3 linked regions of the Rhinolophus ferrumequinum genome follow. Each later gene encodes a partner of the first gene's protein in a complex. Links are inferred from orthologs where the notes say so. Each region holds a gene or a part of one and is shown in the gene's direction. Other genes may lie near its edges.

Region 1 (7,789 bases):
ATACCTGATTCTTCCCTCTAAAACCTGCTCTTCCTCCAGTCTTCCCCATATGACAGCCATAGGGATTCGTTTAGAAAGTAAATCAGATTATCATCACTCCTTTGCTCAAAACCCCATGACACTCAGGATATAGGTCCAGGGCCCAACATGACTGGCTTTCTGCCATCCCCTTAGCTTCATCTCCAACCAATCCCCTCTTGGTTACTCTTATCTAGCATCACTCTCTTTAAATATTGAGGCATATGCCCAACTTGGGGCCTTTGCCCCCACTATCCTCTGAGCCTGGAATGCCCCTCTCCAAGATACCTGCATGGTTTCTTCTCTCATTGCCTTTGGACTCTGCTCCAAAGACTCCTGACCAGAGAGGGCATTTCTGACCACCCCCTGTAAATATACTCACCCTTCCCCAGCCCATCCTCCTTCCTGTTTTACCTTTCTCCCTAGCACTGACCACTACCTGATGTTTACTGACACAGCTTTTGCTTATTGATCACCTTTACCTTCTAAAAAGTAAGCTCTAGCAGCACAGGGACTTCACTCAGTTTGGTCACTGCCACATGTCTCCAACAGTCAGAACAGACCTAGGAAGAATCTACCAAAAATCAGTTAAGCCCTTTTGATGGCCTCACAGCTGGTGCTTTCAGATGCTGCCCATTCCCTGCCCCCAGAAGAAGAATAAAAGTTTGCTCCTAGAGGGGTAGCCGGTTAGCTCAGTTGGTTAGAGCACGGTGCTATTAAACAACAAGGTTGCCGGTTCGATCACCACACAGGCCAGGGTGAGCCGCGCCCTCCCCAACTAGATTGAAATAGTTACTTGACTTGGAGCCGATGGGTCCTGGAAAAACACACTTAAAATAAAGTTTTAAAAAGTTTAACAACAACAAAAAAGTTTGCTCCTGAAGAGACTGATCTACAGAAAGTCAGGATTGAAGAATACAAGGCAAATTGAAGGTGGGAACGCCTGGATGAAAACGGGATTGAATGAAAGTGTACATGGCAGAGGTTGAGATGCCCAGGGTCCTGCCTAACGCCGTCCTGCTCCACTTGCACCATAGAGCCAGCAGCCAACTTTAGTCTCCCTCAGCAGGACTGGAGGGTCCCCAGCCAAGAAGCCAGCTGACACTCTGATTGTCTGCTAATGAAGCCCATCACTCAAAAGGCCTTTCCATGCCACACAGCACTTTTTAGGGCCTCATGCTTAAATATGAACAGATAGCCATTGTTGTCAATATTTGAGGAAGGTGTCTGTTATGGAGTAAATCATATCCCACTCTCCAAATTCATGTGTTGAAGCCTTAACCCCCAATAGTACTATAGTTGGAGATAGAGCCTTTAAGGAGGTAACTAAGGTTAAATGAAGTCATAGGGGTGGGACCCTAATCCAACAGAACTGCTGTCCTTATAAAAAGAGGAAGAGACACCATGAATGTACATGCACAGAAAAAGGCCGTGTGAGGACATAGCCAGAAGGCGGTTGTTTGCAAACCTAGCAGAGAGGCCTCACCAGAACCAACCCTGTTGGCACTTGATCTTGGACTTCCAGACTCCAGACTGTGAGAAAATAAATTTCTGTTTTTTAAGTCACTCATCTGTGGTATTTTGTTATGGCAGTCTAATACAATGTCTAATGTGAAAGAGAAGAACCAAACCAAAACAAATAGAAGAGAAGAAATAGCGACATAAGGAACAGAAGAAAACTTTTGAAGTAATTTATATCATTCTTATCCATAGAGGGATAAGAGGAGACCTCAGCAATACAAACAGAATGGTAATTTTAAACAATTAAGGAACTTTCACAGTGCAAAAAGGAGCTCTTTGAAATGTAACATATGATAGGAAGGTTTAAAGTTAATTGAAGATTTAGAAGACAAAATTGAGGAAATCTCACTGAAGGCAGAACAAATAGAAAATAGGAAAGAAAATTTTTTCCAGCTGTATTAAAGTATAATTGACAAATAAAATTATATGTATTTGAAGTGTACAATGTGATGATTTGATATATGTACGCTTTCTGAAATGATTACCACAATCAAGTTAATTAATGTATCTGTCACCTCACATTTTCCATTGTGTGTGTGTGCGCACACCCTGAGAATGATCAAAGTCTGATCTCTTATGTCTGCAATCATATATTATAGGGATATTGGCCTGTAATTTTCTTTTCTTCTAGTGCCCTTGTCTGACTTCATAAACGAATTTGGAAGTGTTCTCTTCTGGCCAATTCTGGTTCCAAATTCCTTTCTAGTTTCTGTAGGCTTGTGCTCATCCTGCCTTGTTATTATATCATATTTCAGCATAATGGGCTGAATGACTTATAACAATCACCACTATCGCTCTTTCCTACAAGTAATCACATGAGTTACTGTGGTACATCACCCAAGGGACCTGCGTACAAACCTCTGTTCTTTAATGGTTTCATGTTTTTATTTTCTGTTTTTGGTATTTGAGAGACTAGATATGGAGGTTTCCAAGAAAAGTTTACTGCCAATTAAAGGATAGCAGAACCATGTCCGTACCCAGGGCTGTCCTGACAAGGGTCACTTGTCTGCACTTTCATAGGTCCCTTGAGATGTCAGTAATAATAGAAATTTCAAAATGAATTTTAATGAAGTTCAGAAAAGAAGAATAAGGTGGAGTGCCCCAAAGCACTTCCTGAAAAGTGGGAGTCCAGGATGGACATCTCAGTTGCCTTACCTGAAAGGTCAGGTCAGCCCCCCTTAGAATGGGAAAGATAGTCCTCACGAGATAAATGGAAGTAGATGAATGATGAATGAATGAATGAATGCAGGTGATTGGGTAAAATTGAAATAAAGCCTCTTCAGACATTGTGTACTATATATGGGATAGCATAACATAATATTCTAGAATGGACAAAAATAAAACTTGGGCTAAATTGTACCAAGATTCTAGAGTTGGTATACATTTTATTTATGTACTCTTCATTACTCTTTTATCCTATTTATCTAGAAAGCAGTGTGAATTGGAGGCTGCCTACTAGTTTGCACTAAAGTGCAGTTAATACCATCTTACTATAGTCCTATAAGGTGCTGCCAAGGTCAGTTAACTTAATGCTGTGTTTCTTTCTTGAGAAAAATACATTTAAAAAATACTGCTGACTGGAATAGGAGAGAATGGGAAAGGAAATTGAAATACAATGGTACACTTCCCATAGAGTTCACAGGTTACTTTCAATGTGAAAAGCGAGTTTTGTCATTTCTTGTTAATAGAAACACTGACATTTAGAGATATACATTAAAAAACTTAATTATTATAATAAGGGGTTACCCCTGTTTTTCTAGGGCATTTCAGTAGATACCCAGATGGTGCAGTGGACAGCTGTTTGTGAGCCTGTTGAAATTACGCCAATTTGTATTACATTATGACGTCTTAGAAAAGCATGCAACTTGAATTTGCTGGGATAGAGACAAGAGTACTGAAGTTGACGCGCATTTATAAAAAGTCTATCAAATGGCAAAACAAAAGGACTTGGAAAAAGAAAACAACCCATGTGAATATTTTCCCAGCTCCGCAAAATCAGCTTTCAAAAAAGAGTACTGGTTTGTTTCATAAGTACTTGTAAACTCTTCGGGTGCCTTAGGTAAGGGAATAAGGGGGAAAAGTGTCGTCATGCACCGAGGATCGCTTCACGTTTGTGCATTACAACAATAAAGACTATTATGATGGCAATGTGGGATCTCCTGGCAAATCGACATTGCCGAGAGGGGGGAAATGGTCCTTATGGGACAACTGTCTTGCTAGAAGGCCCTCAATTACAATTGTATTTAAGCTTACATCATGTACAACATATATTTTTTAATATTAGCAGAAAATTGCTTTCGCGTGTAACCCCAGTGCTGCATGTGAGGTGGGATACCCGCCGTAGTTTGCAGATATCCAGGTGGACGGGGAAAGGAGTTTGTTGTGCCCCTGCGGGAATTGACAACGAATCGCTTACACCCCTTGGCGCAGTGCTCATTCCCACCAACCCATGTGGGCGGTGACTCTCGGTTTCTCCGACATTGTGAAGTGTCAGGTCATGTGTCCTTTCTCCACTAGATGTCACTGTAAATCAATCGCTCGTGGAGGGGGAATCCATGGTTTGAAGTATGCTCAGAGAGCACCAGGGTTTTTAAGCATGGTCAGTCCCTGCGCTTGTCCTCTCCGACTGGGGAGCGCGGGCAGGGGCGGCGGGGACTCGCTGAAGGAAAGCAGTGCCCAGTCGCAGGCTGCGACTCGAGCGCGAAGTGCGGAGGTCGCAGGTGCGGACGGCTGTGCGATGCGGAAGGCGGGACCGCGCCGCTTTCCCACTCCGCCGCCAACGAGACGGTCACGTGCCGCGGCGGCGCTGCCTCCGCGGACAACTGCGTGAGAGGAGGGCGGGGCCCAGGGAGGGGCGGGGCGGCCTTTGCCGAACTCTGCGGCGCCGCGCCCGACGTTCGGGGTCGCCTCGGGCAGGGCGCGAGCGAGCGTGTTGCGCCGCGCGGGGGTGAGTGCGGGGCGGGGGTGGGGCCAGCCGCTCCGGCGCCGCGCGCTCAGAGCAGGACACGGCCCGCGGTGGGGAGGTGTGAGGGCGGAGCCAGGGAGCGCGCAGACCGCTGAGGGGAGGTGGGCGGGGCGGAGCTGCGACGCGCGCGCCCGCCGGAGGGGGAGGGGCGGGGACCGCCGCGGAGCGCGCAAGGCCGGCCTCTGCGAGCGTGGGGCGAGCGTGGACCGCGGCGCGGCGGTGTGACTCCTTCCCCAGCCCTCCTCCCGGCCCAGGCGACGACAGTGTGCGGCGGCAGCGGCGGCGGCGGCGGCGCCCGGGTCCGCGAAGCCGGACGAGGCGGCTGTGCCGGGCATGGTGGTCTGGGGCAAAGCAGAAGGTGAGCGACCCCCGGCCGGCGGCGGGGTGGGGGAGGGGCGGAACCGGACACGCGCATCCCAGAGGCGCCGCAGACCCGCCCGGCGGCGGCGGCGGAGCACGAACTGCTGAGGCGGGGCGGAGGGGGCGCGCCGGCCGGACACCGCGGCGGTTCCCTGGAGGCCTGACGGCCCGCCGCGTCCCGAGAGCGGCGGTCGCCGGGTTATGTAACGGTGACCTCCCTTCCCCCTCCGCCATGGCGCGACCTGCCGGGCCCCTCACAGGGCCACCCGCAGAGGCGCCGCGCGACTACTGGTGCCCGCGGCCCTGCCCTCCGCGGCCCGCCGCGGACGCCTCCCGGCCCCGCTCCGACTGCGCCGCAAACTCCCTTTCCTGCGCCGGCGCCTCGCCGGCCATTCAGCGCCGCGCCATTCATTGGTGCGCGCGTTCGGTCGCTGGTTCTTGGAGCAGCGCAGGGTGTCGGCGGGGGCCGAGCGCGGTGTTCTCTGCCATCTCCCGCCACCAGCTCTCCTCTCCGTTATCTCTCTGTCAAACACCCCCGCCTCCCATTGGATCCCGGAATCGGGGTCGGAATACCCGAAGGCACCTTTTATTCACTTGTTTTTCCTTGTTACTTATCTGTTGCCTTCATGTGAAGGGCACCTTTCCCCACCTGTCCGTACGAGAGTCCCTTTCATACTTGCACTCACTGTTGAAACAAGTCAACCCAAGTATAGACGGAAAGGGACGTTTCCTTATGTAGTTCGCTGCTCTTACTACCTAAACCCAGCTGGTAAAGAAGTACCTTAATAGATCACTCCTTAATTGATTCCCCTTTATTTTAAAAAAGAATTGGAGATGGTATAAGTCTACTCTTTCTTCCACGTCTGCTCAAGTCACGTACAGAGTAGAAATGGCATCATTTAGGTAACAATATGGACCGGCACATACCATGAAAGGACTTGCAACTATTAAGGGCTTTATGGAACTGTTCTTAATTCTGCGTATGAGCCTGGTCTCTCTGATCTCTCCACTTCAGCCTTGGAGAAATAGCCATTTCCTCTGTAGGTAGGGTAGGACATAGCATAACCTTGGTTCTTCCTATGGCATGCACAGTAACCCATCTTATGGGTAGTACTGTTAATTCCCTCTTTTCCAAACTTCCCGTCTCTGCTTTCCGGTAGTCTTTTCTTAGCCGGTGCAAATGCTGCTAGCGTGTTCTCTCCCTATACTTCCTATGCTGGACGACGCAAGCTCACCCAAAGTTCCTGTTCCAGGAATCCTTTTCCGTCTATGAGGATATCTTCCATTCAGTACTTAGGCTATTTATTTGCCACTTTTGGTTATCTTTTCATCCACATACTGTTTTTCTGAGACTGTCTTATAGGTCTTGAGGGCAGAGTCTGAACTGAACTTGTCTTTCGTGGTAGAACTTTTCACCTGTCTTATGGTAAACAATATATATTTAAGATTTTTTCGTAAACAATACGTATTTAACATTTAACTTGGAAATCACTATTTTAGGATAAATTTCGAGTAGAAAATAATTTTTTAAAAATAATGTGCTTGAATATGGAAGATCATTTCTTCTCACCTCTAACTTCAAAACTCAAATTCTATGTAAGAGAAAGAAACCCTGTCCTCACCAGGAACCACCTAGTCGTGAATAAATTAGGAATGCTTCATATAATACACATTTGATAGTCCTTTCTTTGATGGCTGCTATAGTAGAAAGACAAGAACTTCAGAGTTAGACGTGGATTTAAATTCTGCTCTGTCCATTATTAGCTGTGTGACCTTGGACAACTCAAAATTTTAAGATCTGATATTTTTCCTCGTAGAAAAGGTCTCATTCCCACCTTGGGTAGCTGAAGATTAAACGTAAGGCATCTAGTGAGTCCCTGGTACATGATGATGCTTAGTACATACATATTCCCTTTGGAATGCCTCTTTATTGAAATTTACACTCTAGAGTGAACCAGGATGTGCTGGAGACAAAGCAAGAGAAGAAAGCTAATCAAAAGAGGTGATACATACCTCTTCTTGTCTCCAAATAAATAAACAAGCCCTAAACTAAATAGCGGTAAAGGTCTTTCAACTTCTCAAGAATGTATGTGGGCCGGCCCGGTGGCTCAGGCGGTTGGAGCTCCGTGCTCCTAACTCCGAAGGCAGCCGGTTTGATTCCCACATAGGCCAGTGGGCTCTCAACCACAAGGTTGCCAGTTCGATTCCTTGACTCCCGCAAGGGATGGTGGGCTGCACCCCCTGCAACTAGCAACGGCAACTGGACCTGGAGCTGAGCTGCGCCCTCCACAACTAAGACTGAAAGGACAACAACTTGAATCTGAATGGCACCCTCCACAACTAAGATTGAAGTAACAACAACTTGATTTGGAAAAAAGTCCTGGAAGTACACACTATTCCCCAATAAAGTCCTAAAAAAAAAAAAAGTATGAGTGTGTGGTGTATTATATATCATAGACTATATTAAACAGGACATTTATAAATGAAGGAAATACCTTTTAATCTTCTTTTCCTCCTGGAATAGCACCAACTGAAGCATTAACATGGATATTAAAAAAGAAGAATCTGATTTTCAAGTCAGCAATGGGGGATGAAGGGAGGAGGAATATAAAAAAAGTCTTTTTTTAGAGATAGTTAGGTTTCGTGTTCTTTTAGTATCTCATCTACGTATAATCTGTACGTGAATCCTAGTCTAAGGTCCAGTGTCTCTTCCTTACACTGTTGCAACAGTGCCCTCCCTGCTATCCCTGTTTTTGCACCCTCTCTCACTAATCCCCCGCATAATAATCGGAGTGATCTTTTAAAAGTTATAAATCCATTTTCTTGCTCAAAATCCTCCCCAAGCTTCCTATAACTCTTGGAATTGAATCAGAACTTTTTACCACAGCCCATCAGGGCATTACATGATTTGGCAGCTGCCAGTTG
Region 2 (7,477 bases), on another chromosome or scaffold:
ACAAGGCATTTGCAGAGTTGCTATGAGGATTAAATGAAATCTCACTTTCAAAGTACCTGGTACACACAGAAATACAAAGGATCATACAAGAATATTGTGAAAGACTATATGCCACCAAATTTAATAACCTTGAAGAAATGGAGTTCTTAGAAATATATAACCTTCCTAGACTGAACCACAAAAAACTGGAAAATCTAAATAGACTGATCAACAGTAAGGAAATTGCAATAATCATTAAAAACCACCCAAAAAGTAAAAGTTCAGGATGGCTTCACTAGTGAATTCTACCGAACATACAAAGATGATTTAATACCTGTCCTTCTCAAACTATTCCCAAAAAACTGAAGAAGAGGCAATACTTCCTAACTCGTTTTATGAGGCCAACATTACCCTGATACTAAAACCTGGTAAGGATAACACACACAAAAAAGAACATCACAAACCAATATCTCTAATGAATACAGATTCAAATTCTAAACAAAATATTAGCAAATTGAATACAATGCATTAAAAATGATCATACATCACAATCAGATAGGGTTCATTCCAGGGGCACAATGATGGCTTAACATATGCAAAACGATCAATGTGATACACCACATAAACAAAATAAAGGATACAAGTCATACGATCATATCAATAGATGCAGAAAAAGCATTTGACAAGATACAGCATCCATTTTTAATTAAAACACTTAATAAAATGGGAATAGAAGGAAAGTACCTCAACATAATAAAGGCCATATGTAACAAACCCTCAGCTAGCATCATACTTAATGGTGAAAAACTGAAAGCTTTTCTCTAAGATCAGGAACAAGACAAGAATGCCCTCTTTGACTACTGCTATTCGACATAGTATTGGAAGTCCTAGCCAGAGTAATCAGGCAAGAGAAGGAAATAAAGCATCCAAATTGGAAATGAACAAGTCAAATTGTCACTTTTTGCAAATGACATAATTCTTTATATAGAAAACCCCAATGACTCCACCAAAAAAAAAACCCTCCAAAAACAAACCTATTAGAAACAATAAACAAATACAGTAAAGTTGCAGGATACAAAAATCAATGTATAAAAATCCATTGTGTTCCTATATACTAACAATGGAATTTTAGAAAAAGAAATGAAGGAAACAATTCCTTTCACAATTACAACAAAAAGAATAAAATACTTTTGAATAAACTTAACAAATGATTTAAAGGACACTGAAAACTACCAGACATTATTGAAAGAAGTTTAAGATACAAACAAATGGAAAGATATTCAGTGTTCATGGATTGGAAGAATCAACATAGTTAAAATGGCCATATTATTACCCAAAGCAATATACAGATTTAATGCAATTCCCATCAAAATCCCAATGGCATTTTTTAAAGAAATAGAACAAAAAATTATCAGATTTGTATGCAATCACAAAAGACCCCAAATAACCAAAGCAATCTGGAAAAAAAGGAACAAGTCTGGAGGTATCACATCCCCTGACTTCAAATTATACTAGAAAGCGACAATAATTAAAACAGCATGGTATTGGCAAAAAAACAGACACACAGATCGATTGAACTGAATTGAGAACCCAGAAATAAACCCACATATGTATGGGCAGATAATTTTCAACAAAGAAGGCAAAAACGTACAATAGAGAAACAAAAACCTCTTCAATAAATGGTGCTGGGAAAATTAGAAAGCAACAGAATGAAACTAGACTGCTATTTGTCACTAACACAAAAATTAACTCAAAATGGATCAAAGAGGTAAATATAAGACCTGAAATAATAAAATTCATAGAAGAAAACATAGGTACTAAACTTATGGAACTCGGTCTTAGAGAGGATTTTATGAATTTGACCTCAAAGGCAAGGGAAGATAAAGCAAAAATAAATGAATGGGATTGTTTCAAATTGAAAAGCTTCTGCATAGCAAAAGAAACATCAACAAAACAAAGAGGCAACCAGCCAAATAGGAGAAGATATTTGCAAACAACACCTGTGATAAGGGGTTAATATCTAAAATATATAAAGAGCTCATACAACTCAACAACAAAAAAAAATCTGATTAAAAAATGGGCAGAGGACCTGAATAGACACTTCTCCCAAAGACATACGAACTGCCAACAGATATGTGTATATGAGAATATGCTCAACTTCACTAGCTATTAGGGAAATACAAATCAAAGTCACAATAAGATACTGCCTCACATCTGTTAGAATGGCTATTATCAAGAAGATAACAATGGCTATTATCAACAAGTGTGGGAGAGGTTATGGGGAAAAAGGAACCCTCATACACTGCTGGTGAGAATGTAAATTGGTACAGCCACTATGGAAAATATTATGGAGGTTCCTCAAAAAATTAGGAATAGAATTACCATATGACCTAGCAATCCCTCTTCTGGGTATCTATCCCCCAAAATTGAAAACATTTATCCATAAAGATATATGTACCCTTATGTTCATAGCAGCATATTCATGGTGACCAAGACATGGAAACAATTGAAATGTCCTTCAATGGGTGACTGGATAAAGAAGATCTGGTACATACATACAATGGAATATTACTCAGCTATAAGAAAAGATGAAATACTGTCATTTGCAACAACATGGATGGATCTTGAGATTAAGCAAAATAAGTCAGACAGAAAAAGCCAAGACCCATATGACTTCACTCATTATATGGGATATAAAATTGAAATCACTAAATGAACAAGACAAACAAACAAAAACTCATAAACACAAACAACAGTTTGGTGGTTACCAGAGGGAAAGTGGGGAGAGGGAGGTAGAAAAGGGTAAAGAATATCAAACATCTGGTGACACAAAGAGATTTGATTTTGGGTGGTGAACACACAATGCAATATGCATTTGTACAGATGATGTGTTATAGAATTGTACACTTGAAACCTATGTAATTTTACTAACCGATGTCATCCTAATAAATTAATTTTAAAAGAGTTAGGAAAAAGAAAAAAAAAAAGCACCTGGTACAGTATGCCTAATATACCGTAATGTAATAGCCAAATGTTATTGATTTTGTGTGTCAGTAAATATGAGGGTTTTATGTATATTATCTCATTTATAACTCTAGCCAAATAGAATTCTTTAATATTCTCATTTGCTCTTTCAGTCTTTCACATCTCAGTAGACAAAGCATCACCATTTACTTAAAAATTAAGGTTCCAAATCTAGTATTTTTCTTGATTCCTGTCTTTCCTACGCTCTACTCATCTAATTCATCATCCGGTTTTGCTGACTCTAAAAAGAAAACCCAAGTCACTCAGTTCTCTCAATTTCTACTACCATTATCCTATGTTCAGCCACTACCATCCCTCACTTAAATATCTTCAGGAGAATGTAAGCTACATGTGAACAGACTCCACGTATTATTAATCACAGCTGTATGCCTAGCACCCCAACACCCAGAACGGTGCCTGGCTCTTAGTAGGCTTTTACCAGCTGTCTTGAATGAATGCATGGTGCCAGAAAACTTTGAAGTGGGTAATATTATTATTTCCATCTTATAGATTGCAAAATGGGCGTGCAGTGGTTAAATAACTTACTTAAGATCACACAAATACCCAAACCAGGATTCAAATCCAGGGTCTAACTTAGAGGCTGCAGGTTATCCACTATGCCGCCATATTGAACTACACTGGCGAATGCTTAAGTTAATTATTAAGGGTTTTTTAACTGATGTTAGGAGAAATTTTAGTTGAAATTCCCCAACCTGAAAACTTTTCCTGAGCATAAAGTTCATGTGCCCCTTCGCACAGCCTTGTAGAGGCATCATGATTTGGCTTCTCCCAAGTCTCGTCTCTCGTCATTGGCCTTTCTCCCCAACAGCCCAACTACTATGAACTCTTTTCTCTTCCCAGCAAATACTCCTGCCTCTATTCGAAACACTGCCTCTCTCTTCTGAAAAACCTTTCCTAATTTCTCAATTCTGAGAGATTATAACAAGCAGTACTTTATCCCAGCTGGCATCACTCAACTAAAATTACCGTATTTATTACTTTGTTGTTTATTGCTGTGTCCCCCGTGCCTAACAAGCGCCTGCAACAGAATAGGTACTTGATAAATATTTGTTGAATAAAGGTATGAAAAGGCAAGGATTCTTTCATCAATTTACAGATGGAAAGACTGTGGCTCCTAGAGGTCAGGTATTTTCCCCGCGTCAGTGACTAAGTGGCAGAGGTAACATTTGAATCGGCTCCACAGACAGCCCGCCCCAGACCACGCCCGCCCTCCTAGCTCCTCACTTCCGCCCGCTCCGACTAGCTCCACCTACTTCGCCAAGCGCCATCTCTCAGACTAGTTTGGCCCCCAGGCGGCCGCCGTAGCGCGTCTTTCCGTTGCTCTGGGAGACGACCCCGGCCCAGGGTTGGAGGAAAGACGTTTCCCGCCGGCGGGAGCTGCGGTTGTGGCGGCGCGGGGAGCTCAGAGACTGCGGGGCGCGGCGCTGCAGCACCATGGCGGACCAGCTTTATCTGGAAAATATAGACGAGTTCGTCATGGACCAGAACAAGATCGTGAGGAGCTAGGACTGGGGAACTCGGGCGTGCGACTGGGGAGCTAGGACGGGGGTCCTGGGCCCGGCGAGGGCGGTGGGAGCCTTGACCCCTCTGCGTGTGTTCTCGTGGGGACTGGCGGAGGGAAACAGGTCCCCCCACGCGCCAGGGCAAGCGAAGACTCGACAGAGAGGGCCTCAGGCGCGCGCGCAAGTCCGCGTCCATTGGGTGGGCGTGCTGGGCGCTGCACAGACTAGGGGCCGTGGAGGGAGGAGCATCGATTGATAATATTTCTAAGGCGTCTCTACACCTGTCTGATAAGGTGGTTGGAATTTAAAGCTCCAAGTTTACAGTTGAGGAAGTTGCACGGGTTTTAAGTGACAAGCTGTTTGACCTTCCAGCAGTCGGTTTCCTCTTACTGGAAATCTGGTATTGATACAGGCTTGACCTGTCTCAGGAAGGGTAAAGATCAAGTGGGACAGTGGATGTGAATACACTTTGCCAGTGTGAGGATTGAGTGCCTCCTGTGAGCTTTGGACACACATTATTGCATTTCATCTATGCAGTGACCCAGCCAGAGGTCGGTAGAAGTATTCTTAGAAAGGCAGTTGAAGCAGAGGGGCCAACTAACTTCTTTATTTGTGGCTAGTAAGGGATAGGCAGTTTACCAACTTCGGGCCGTCTCTGTTGCTAATGCTTTCTTATGTTACACATCACACTGTCTTTGCCTAACCTATGTAATACTTCCAGTTACTGGAAACTCAGCATTTTGAATTGGAAGACTTTGGAGAGAGGAGTGACAGTAGAGCTAGGGAAGGATGGAAGCTCTAGGCTTGACCCCCGGAGTTCCCAGTCTAACCTCTGATACAGAATCCATCCACCCCATTCATTTCCTGACCCATGCACCACCTGTTTCTTTAATGTTTGTATGGCTGCAACTATCCTTAGAAGTTTTTCTGACTCATACACTTCAAAGTAATCTAGCTTCTGGGTGAGTTTTAGGATTGTTTTCGGTGGAGGCCCCCAAAACAAAAAGGGCAGAATGTGAAATAAAAAAAGCAAAACATGGAGTGTAAGAAAAATAAGAACTTTTTCTTTGATGTATATACCATGTTTCCCTGAAAATAAGACCTAGCTGGACCACCAGTTCTAATGCATCTTTTGGAGCAAAAATTAATAATATTATATAAGACCGGGTCTTATAATATAATATGCTATAATACTATTTTAATATAAGACCCGGTCTTATAATATAATATAGTATAATATAATGTAATAAATATAATACCGGGTCTTTATATTAATTTTTGTTCCAAAAGATGCATTAGAGCCGATGGTCCGGCTAGGTCTTATTTTCAGGGAAACACGGTGTAAGCCTTCCTCTTTAGACTCTTTGCGTTGATTGGTGTAAAACAAGCTTTTTAGTATTTGTTAAGATAAATATGTCAGTCTTGCCTGCCCAGATGGATGGTTCTTGGTAAAACTGGGATAGTGGGGGACAGAGCCAGGAGTGGTTTCCAGGCTCTCGGCCTCATGTGGAAAGGTGCTCACTCAGGCAGTAAATGGTCATCAACTGTGATTGGATGGCCATCACCTGTGGCTAGTTGGCCGTCAGCTGTAACCAGTGAGCCATTGGCCACTAATATAACTGCTGTGGCTACGCTAGCAGCCAATGGGGGCTAGCAAGAAGATGGAGGCTGAGCTAGCAGGCGCGGATTGCAGTTAGCACGGCGGATGCCGCCAGCGAGACTATAGTGGTATGACTCCCCTATCTATGGCTCTGTGGGTGTTCCTTTTTGGCCTCATGATGTCCTGCGTTCTTATGTGGGGAGCGGGAGCTGAGACCCAGCATGACACCCTGCATGACAAATGGTATTTAGTATTATTTATAAGGCATAATCATCTAAGAGTAGGAATCTTTAGGAGCCTTTAGAATTGACCTGTACTCCGGAGTCATCTAATAAAACATTTAAAAAAGTTCTTTTTCTTGCAGGTGACATACAAATGGCTGAGCTATACACTAGGTGTTCATGTTAACCAGGCCAAACAGTAAGTCCAATTTACTACTAATTTTAATCACAGTGGAGTCTTGCTTTGCTTGTTTTTTGTTTTGTGTTGTTTTGCGTTTTTGGCTTTACAGATAGCCTCTAGGTTAGAACTTTTTTTTTCCCCCTGAGAAAATGGGAAAGAATATTATTTTTACTACATCTTACTACTTTTGTCTGTTATTCAGGAGGTTAGTAGACTTGTGTGCAAATGTGTGCTAATACATTTACTGACTTTATGTGTAGTCTTGCCCACTGGTTGACATCACTTTGTTATTTCATATTTATTAAATGGGCTAGCCAGTTCTGTTTCTATCTCAGATTTATGTCTGGTATCTTACAGCTTCATGACATTGTCACACATGCTCCTTAGGCCCATCTCTGGGTGTTATTGAAATACCTCCATAATGAGGTCAACAGGTGTTTGACACAAGCTGTATGTGTAACAGTAGAAAATGGGGACAACGATTTAAGTGAAACTAAAAAGGGGAGTGGTTAGGATGGTGTAGAGCACTGCCCTTCATGAATTTTGCTATATCACCTTTCCTTGCTGAAGCTTGTAGTCCAATGTGAGGCCAAAAGGGAAATTTTGTAATTCACTTCAAAATTTCTTGACCTGTAAATGTGCAGATGTTGTTTATGCCCCAAAGGAAGGGAGGAGTTGGTGAACAGGCTGACACACATATTGAGTCAAATACTTCATTTAGCTTGTTTTCTGAAGGTGGTCTGATTTTTCCCTATTCCTTGAATCGTAGGAATGTTCCATGAGTCTTAGAAAATCCCTGATCTCTAGAATGGGTTGATTTGGCTTTATTTGTGTTGCTGTTTGATAGATCTAGGAGTCTGATTTTGACTGGATGTTTATGCCTTCGCGACCTGAAACAATTTGCACAGGGATGCATTTGGACAGATTTTGACTAAGATTACCGTTGCTA
Region 3 (7,511 bases), on another chromosome or scaffold:
AATATGGTTCTCCTCTTCCAGAATGTTCAGTGTTCCCTGAAAAAGAATGAGAGATAGTAAGAAGTCTACAAGACTGACTGCAAGGAAAAAAGATAGTAAGAAGTCTACAAGACTGACTGCAAGGAAAAATCGGGGCTACAAAAGTGTAAAAACTCATCAGCAGGCCTGCTTTTAAAGTAAACAGAATAAACAAACTGGTTCTCCACGTCTGACTCACTTGTCCTGCATTCTCACTAATCATTCTTCCCACTTAAAGGGAGGGTTGTGCCAGCTAATAAAATGGCTGTTACACAGAGCAAGGAAGACATCATTGTTCTCCTTTGGAAACTGAGCAGACTCTCATATCGACTGTTTCATTAAGGAGGCCAGCGTGGAAGAATACAGAAATAAGAAGTACACTGAGGGGCTGATAAAATGGGAGAGTCAGGAGGAGCACTGGACTATTTTACCAATAGTTCTAGTACCATGTTTCCCCGAAAATAAGACCTACCCAGACAACCAGCTCTAATTTGTCTTTTGGAGCAAAAATTAATATAACACCTGGTCTTATTTTACTATAATATAAGACCAGGTATGATATGATAGGATCTGATATGACATATGATATGATATGATATAATACCAGGTCTTATTTAATATAAGACCAAGTCTTATATTAATTTTTGCTCCAAAAGACATGTTAGAGCTCATTGTCTGGCTAGGTCTTACTTGCAGGGAAACACGGTATTAGAAAACACAGAAAGACTATTACTGGGACTCTCCTTAGTTTGATATCAAGAGTAATGAATTATGACTTCTATCAAGTTTCCGTAGAACTAGCAAAATACAAATCCTAGCTAGCTAAGTTAATTAATAATTTTGAAGGAAAAATTTTTTTCTATTAAAGGCACCAGACTTTGGAAACAAAAAGCGGTAGCAATTCCACTTTTCATGCCCATTGTAAAAAAGACAAAAAAAAGGTTGTGGATTTTAAACATATTTAAAGTCATATTCTAACTCCTGAAACAAATGCATTCTGCATTATTTTTTATTGTTCATCATACAGTGCATTTGGAATAAGTAAGTTTGGAATAAAAGGAAACAAGCAGCAAAGTGCAATCTAATTTAGATCTAAGAGTCTTACTCATTTGCCGAAAATGTCTTACCTCCTCTGCCCCGTCTCTACATAATTTTCAAAACAGAAGTCAACAATAAGGGATTAATTAAACCAAGTAAGAGAAATGTGATAACTATGATTTCTTGTGATGGTCGTTCTTTTTACCTTGAAGGAAACATTTACTATCATACAAAGTATGCTGTTTCATGTATGTAGAACCAGTGAAGTTTTTACACAAATGCTACATTAAAGAAGTCATACTTTGTCTAAACTACTTTGGAAACACAAGTCTTCCAACCAATCATTCCTTACATTTTCAATCAGTTCCATGACACTGTTCTTCAGATAGACCTTCTCCAATCGAGACATGCTGTTCCACCGAAACCTGGCCACCAAAAGCACAGTCGACAGAACCACATTAGAAGTCTTCTCTTCATAAGAGACTAGATTAGATTCCTGTTGTTAGATTATGTTGGTGATTTTATTAAGAAATTATACTTTGATTTTATACCCTTCCAAGAACAGATAAAAACAGTCCATGTTTAACCAAAATGCTAACAGAAGAATTCTTGGGAAAGAGTTTTATATAGGCAGTGGTCCATTCATTGAAATCCACACAGGATTTGTGCACAGATCAGCTTCCCTCTTGATTTCCCTGACAGACCAAAAGCAGATACACATCTGGGATGACTGCAACACTGTAGTTGCTTTTCAGATACTATGAATGCCCTTTCTGTGATGGTTTACAAGGTAACAGCACAATTCCAGAAAAACTGGCTAAATCTTAAAAACTGATTCTTCTGATAGGCAGCGTGTGTAGCAGACTCAATTTAGGAAGAGTTTTCAGCTATTCTCATATAATCCTGCTTTGGATACACTCAAATTAAAAAAAAAAAAAATTAAAGGCACAGTGCCTAATCAGAGATTTGTTTACCTACACATTGCATTATTCTAAAGACTTTTTTAACAGTGGTGAAAGTGCAGTTTATTAGAAGCGAAAATACACTCCAAAGAGATAGGAGCGGGCCTGAGCAACAGTGTGGCTCAAAAGGTCTATTCTAAAGACTTTGAGGTCTGCTGACATACAACAGGAGCTCAATAATTGCTGGCTGAATGACTACGTGCTAGTATTTGCAGAATGCTTAGTATGTACCACATACTTTTTATATGGATAAAGACACTGAAGAAGAGAAAGGTTAAGTCCTGAATGAGAACTCCCATAAGGCTGTGATGACCTCTTGGGAATCAATCCTTTCTTCTTGGGGATTGCTCTTTTCTACTCACCTAGAGAGTATCTCTATGAGTTACATAAGAAATAGAGATTTGCTCTCTCACAGACTTCACTGGTAACATCCAAAAGCTCCTTACTTGACAACGTGTTCCAGGATCTGAAGGCCAAAATGTCTGACGATGGCAATTTGTGTTTTCTCAGCCAACCTCAAGCCACAGGGGACACAGATAGGGCATTTTTCTTTAAACTCCTCACAAAACTGAAAGAATAAAAGTTAGCATTTCCCTTAGGAGCCAAGAGAGACGGGACTAAAAAAAACTTCTTCTTAACAAACTCCAACCTGAGCTACATTTTTAAGTACAAAATCTAGATCAATATTATATGAGTAAAAAACAAACACTCCTTTCATGTTCACAGTTCCAGATTTCCCATGTAATGTCCAACCAATGTTGAAAAAAAAATCTGACCTAAAAGAGTAAAAAATTATGTTAGAGATACACTCCTGAAGTATATAGGGGTGAAACAACAATTTCTAGGATTTGCTTTAAAAACTTTTGGTGGGGGGAGCGATAAAGTAAATACGGTAAAATCTGTAACAGCTGAGTTTAGGCAATGGGTATACACCTAAGACCACTGAAGTATTCTCACTACTTTTGTATCTTTTTAATATTTCATAGTAAAAAGCAAATATAACCCAACTATTTGATTCCAAATCCTGTGGCACACATGAATGTATGTAAAGTTTCCTCCAAGTGGTGCTCACTGTACATCACTTAAAATATGCACAGCACAAGTCGTTTTTCCTAATGGCCATTTCATTTCTCACAGCCCACATAAACTGATGCCGGGATATTGTGGCTTATATTGTAGCGACACAACAGTCAGTCTTGGGAGCAGAGCATCGGGACTCAAGACAACTACTTTCAGGAAATCAAAGTGCCCTTGTTAAAATGCAAAGTAAGTGGTGGAAGTTCACCTCTGCGCAAAACTGCCTAAGAATATCAGACACTAAAAAACCTAAGATGAGGGTGTGTGAGAATTAGCCCTGAAACACCCAAGACACACACAAGGTTAGGGAGAGGCTGTATGAATGTAAGTAAAAGGGGGCTGGAGCTCGTTTAGGGAAAGTCAGGAGAGGGGCTTAGCGGGGAAACGTTTAGGGCAGGGAAGACCATAAAGAACGTAGCTGCTGCTGGGTACGGGATGGACACGTGCGCCACGGGAAGGCGAGGGGATGTGGGGCTTGGGGGAATAAAAGACTTGCAGCCAGCTGTGGAGGGGGGTCGTGGTGCGGTCAACAGCGAACAGAAGTGGGGAAAGGGGGAGGAGAGGGCAGTGGGAAGTGGTGGTGAGATGAGACCGCCAAAAGCACCTAGGGACCGGAGCGTCCCGGGAAAGGGGTAGGCGCGGCGAGCAGAGGCGGCCGGGAGTGGAAAGTGGCGCGGAGAGCGGCAAGGAAGGCCCCTCGGGGTTGGGGAGGGAGGTCTAAGGGCCGCGTGGGCGGCGCCGGGACAGCAGGGCTGGGGAAGACTCTCCCGGCAGGCCCAGGCGCCAGACCCCAGCTACCTTGAGGGCTTCCAGCCGATAGCGCTGGGTGGAGCTGGGGTCCATCATGACGGTCACCGCTTTCACCAGCTGCTCGCACAGCGCGTTCACTTGATCCATCGCCATGGCTACTGCCACGCGCCGCGAGAGCGCACCACGGCAGTCCTGGGAGCACAAGGCACGGACCGCTCCCTTGCGGGGATAACACGCTGGTACCGGGCCGCGGCGGGCTGGGGGGAGTGGGGAGCGGTAGGAGGAGCGTGAGCCGCAGGAGCCCCAGCCGGGAACGAACCGGCGCTACGCACGCGCTCGATCTTCCAATGCGCACGCGCCGGCGGAAGTGGCTGCTTTCTGGTGACGGTTGCTCCTCGGTGGGCGGAGCGGGAGAAGGAAGGGCCTCGGTGCGCAGGCGCGTCAACGCCCTTCGCGGCGAGCGCGCTGCCTGAGATCTGTCAGTTGCTGAGCGCGCTGGCTTGAGGTGAAGCCACCCGGGTGTGCCGGCGGCTGCCCGGGCAAGGATCCTCTGCGAACCTTGGTCCGTTTCTTCATCTTTGCGGGGAATAAATCTCTCTCGATACCGCCTGGCTTGCTCCCGGAAAGGGAACAGATATTCAAGACCTCTTCATCGTCCTTCCAGTGGACGCCAAGCTCAGAATTGGCGGCATCCGCGGTTGGCAGTTTTGCCAGGTGTTTGCCACATTGGTAAGAGAATTTCAAAACTTTCATCATCACTGTTTTCAAACTTTTCGTGTTGCCTTGGCTATTGGTTTTATGATATAGCAGTTGGATGGTGACATTGGGCCGAAATTGCATGCAATAGAAATACATGCTCACAGAGAGATGAGGCCCGGGTATTGTCATCCAAGAGGATTTTTCTTGTGGAAAAAAAAAATTGTGTTTTTCTCTATAGCTCGTAAACCTCCCTCTTCACTTGTACTTATTTTCCTGGGATGTGTTAGTCACCTGATCAGCACCAAACTTGTTTTGTGCAGATCGGGATAAATCGAGATGGTTACAGATGAATAATTGCAAGTATTGAAGGTTTGTGCGGCTTGAATCATTTGAAATGCTATATATAAGACTTCAGAGTCTTATATATAGTGTAACCATATATAGTGTAACTTATATATAGTGTAACCATTATTCTGAAAGGAGCGTTTTGGCGGAGAGTGTTTCTTTCTCCATCTTTAAAAAGCTCTTGCTTTCTCCAGCAAAACACATGAACTGGAAACTTCAACAGCTTCATGAGCTGTTAAAGCCTGCATATCAGTTTTTGTGTTTGTATTCTCGGTGATTAATATGTTTGCTGGACTTACATCACTGCCTCCTATTCGTATTTCACGTCAGGTATTTATATGTAACATGGCGTGTACCTGGTGGTTTTCTGTGAAAATGCATTTACTATTTTTATTCTGGCATCATCCGTTCCAGTACTATGCAAAAGGCACTTCAAGGTAAAGTGATTTCTGACATGTTACGGTTTTTAACTTATACATGTTTAAAGTATCACATTCTGCCTGTTTTAGGTAAGTAGAATTATAAGGAATTAATGCCTTGACACTCTGATTTTTAAATTCATTTTTTTTTTTAATAATTACAATTAAGTTTTGTTTTTGGTTTTGGTTTTGGTTTTGGTTTTTTGGGGGGAAATGTTGGGGAACAGTGTGTTCCTCCAGGGCCCATCAGCTCCAAGTCGTTGTCCTTCAATCTAATTGTGGAGGGTGCAGCTCAGCTCCTAGTCCAGTCACCGGTTTCAATCTTAGTTGCAGGGGGCACAGCCCATCATCCCATGGAGGGTATTGAACTGGCAACCTTGTTGTTGAGAGCTTGCGCTCTAACCAACTGAGCCATCCGGCCGCCCCTAAATTCATTGTTTTCTTTCCACTAATCTTCCAGTTTGTAGTTGCATGCCACTTTTTTCAAGGTGAATGTTAATTTTTGACACTTTTTTTTTTAAAAGAATACAGTTGAGTGCTTACTCAACTGTATAACCTGTGTTTCTCATATTTAAATCGTGAATTACTGGTGTTTTCATAAGTTATCTTATTTACTTTAGGTCAGTGGTTCTCTGTCTCATTATTGTGAGCTGCACATTATGAATTGCCTGGAGAGCTTATAAAAATCACAATGCCCAAGTCACATACATACCAATTAAATTAGGATATCTGGTGGTAGAAGCTGATATCAATACTATTTAAATATCCTAGGTGATTCCAATCTGCAGCAAAACTTGGGCGCCACCGTGTGAATTTAACATTTCTTCTCCAGATTTATAATAATGTCCAATGATAATATTAGTCTTTATCCACTATCGAGTATATAAGGTTTGTCCTTCCAATCGACCATCCATACCTTTATGGATGTCTATCCTCGAGTAGTATGCAGTATTGTTCTCTTTTGTTTTAAGAAATGTATATGAATGGGTAGAAAATCACCAATAGAACACTGCAAAGTAATTGTGACCGGCAAGATTCACTGATGGTGCTTTGTGGTATGAGGACAAACAGGATATTTGCATATTCTCAAAGTATCTCCCCTAAAATATTCCTTACAAAGGGAAAAATAGTAACTTTATAGTGGGAAACTTGGCAAACACTATCTCAACTAAATGATCATGGTTAATATCACCAGTAATGAGACATATTGACATCACGTACCACCCAGTTTGATACACTGAGAAGAGCACGTCAGTTCCATAATATTCTTGCCAAAAATGCATAACCGCAATGTAATCAAGAGAAGACATCAGACAAACCTAAATTGAGAGATATTCTCAAGGTAACTGACTAGTTCTCTTCACAAGTGTCAAAGTCATGAAAAACAAGAGAAGACTGAGGAAGTGTCACAGAATGGAGACGACTAAGGAGACATGATGACTAAGATTGGATCCTGGAGCAGAAAAAGGATATTAGTGGAATAATTGGTGAAATTCAAGTAAAGTATGTAGTTGAATATTATACCAGTGTTCATTTTTTAGTTTTGATCATTGTGCTATGTAGAATGTTAACATTAGTGGAAACTGGGGGTAAGAGAACCCTACTATGTTTGCAAGTCTAAAATTATTTCAAAATAAAAAATTTAAAAAATTCATATGAATGTTATACTGTTATATATCATTTTCTGCTTCCCTTTTCCCTGAACTTGAGACTTGTCTATGAAGTGGATTAACTGTTGGCTTAATTTCTCTGTTGATGTACATTGTGGTTTTAATTTGCATTTCCCTGTGACTAAATGTTAAGCTCATTTTCATGTGCCTGTTGACTATTTGTGTATCTTCTTTTGTGAAGTGTTCAGTCCTTTGTGGGGATGGATATTTTTAAAGCTTTTAATACTTATTACCTTCCCCAAAGTGAGCCAATTTGTTATTCTCCTTCTAGCAGTAGATGAAAATGCCTATTTCATTCTTGTTAGTTTCCAGGCTCTCATGTTCATGGTAACTCAGCAATGGAAGAATGGAAATACAATTTTTCTTGGCACTTTGGATTAGGTATCCTTTTTAACTGTCCATAAAATATTGTCTTACAGAAAAATGGCCAATGGACAGGACCGGGTAGTCGCTCTAGTGGACATGGACTGTTTTTTTGTTCAAGTGGAGCAGCGGCAGAATGCTCATTTGAGGAATAAACCTTGTGCAGTCGT

The links. The genes of interacting proteins can lie anywhere in the genome.
Region 2: the proteins of REV1 (region 1) and POLD3 are in contact, whole or in part, in an NMR structure (PDB 2N1G), measured with the Homo sapiens proteins. The link is inferred for Rhinolophus ferrumequinum from reciprocal best matches to the Homo sapiens genes REV1 and POLD3. Residues at the interface, in NP_057400.1 of Homo sapiens: Asn1158, Leu1159, Ala1160, Gly1161, Leu1171, Leu1172, Glu1174, Trp1175, Ile1179, Met1183, Glu1184, Glu1185, Asp1186, Gln1189, Val1190; in NP_006582.1 of Homo sapiens: Gly232, Asn233, Met234, Met235, Ser236, Asn237, Phe238, Phe239, Gly240, Ala242, Ala243, Met244.
Region 3: the proteins of REV1 (region 1) and POLH are in contact, whole or in part, in an NMR structure (PDB 2LSK), measured with the Homo sapiens proteins. The link is inferred for Rhinolophus ferrumequinum from reciprocal best matches to the Homo sapiens genes REV1 and POLH. Residues at the interface, in NP_057400.1 of Homo sapiens: Asn1158, Leu1159, Ala1160, Gly1161, Leu1171, Leu1172, Trp1175, Ile1179, Asp1181, Pro1182, Met1183, Glu1185, Asp1186, Gln1189, Val1190; in NP_006493.1 of Homo sapiens: Thr528, Glu529, Pro530, Phe531, Phe532, Lys533, Lys535, Ser536, Leu539.

The regions. Positions count from the first base shown.
Region 1 is NC_046296.1:4,736,347-4,744,135, forward strand, and holds the start of REV1 (DNA repair protein REV1), read left to right. Parts: upstream 1-4,665; 5' UTR 4,666-4,862; intron 4,863-7,789. UniProt on the Homo sapiens protein: Deoxycytidyl transferase involved in DNA repair. Transfers a dCMP residue from dCTP to the 3'-end of a DNA primer in a template-dependent reaction.
Region 2 is NC_046294.1:49,482,158-49,489,634, forward strand, and holds the start of POLD3 (DNA polymerase delta subunit 3), read left to right. Parts: upstream 1-4,303; 5' UTR 4,304-4,458; coding exon 4,459-4,518; intron 4,519-6,490; coding exon 6,491-6,546; intron 6,547-7,477. UniProt on the Homo sapiens protein: Accessory component of both the DNA polymerase delta complex and the DNA polymerase zeta complex.
Region 3 is NC_046286.1:12,894,548-12,902,058, forward strand, and holds the start of POLH (DNA polymerase eta), read left to right. Parts: upstream 1-4,337; 5' UTR 4,338-4,574; intron 4,575-4,782; 5' UTR 4,783-4,913; intron 4,914-7,397; 5' UTR 7,398-7,401; coding exon 7,402-7,511. Other genes in the region: XPO5 (exportin-5), read right to left, coding at 1-36, 1,409-1,481, 2,465-2,586, 3,894-3,998. UniProt on the Homo sapiens protein: DNA polymerase specifically involved in the DNA repair by translesion synthesis (TLS). Due to low processivity on both damaged and normal DNA, cooperates with the heterotetrameric (REV3L, REV7, POLD2 and POLD3) POLZ complex for complete bypass of DNA lesions.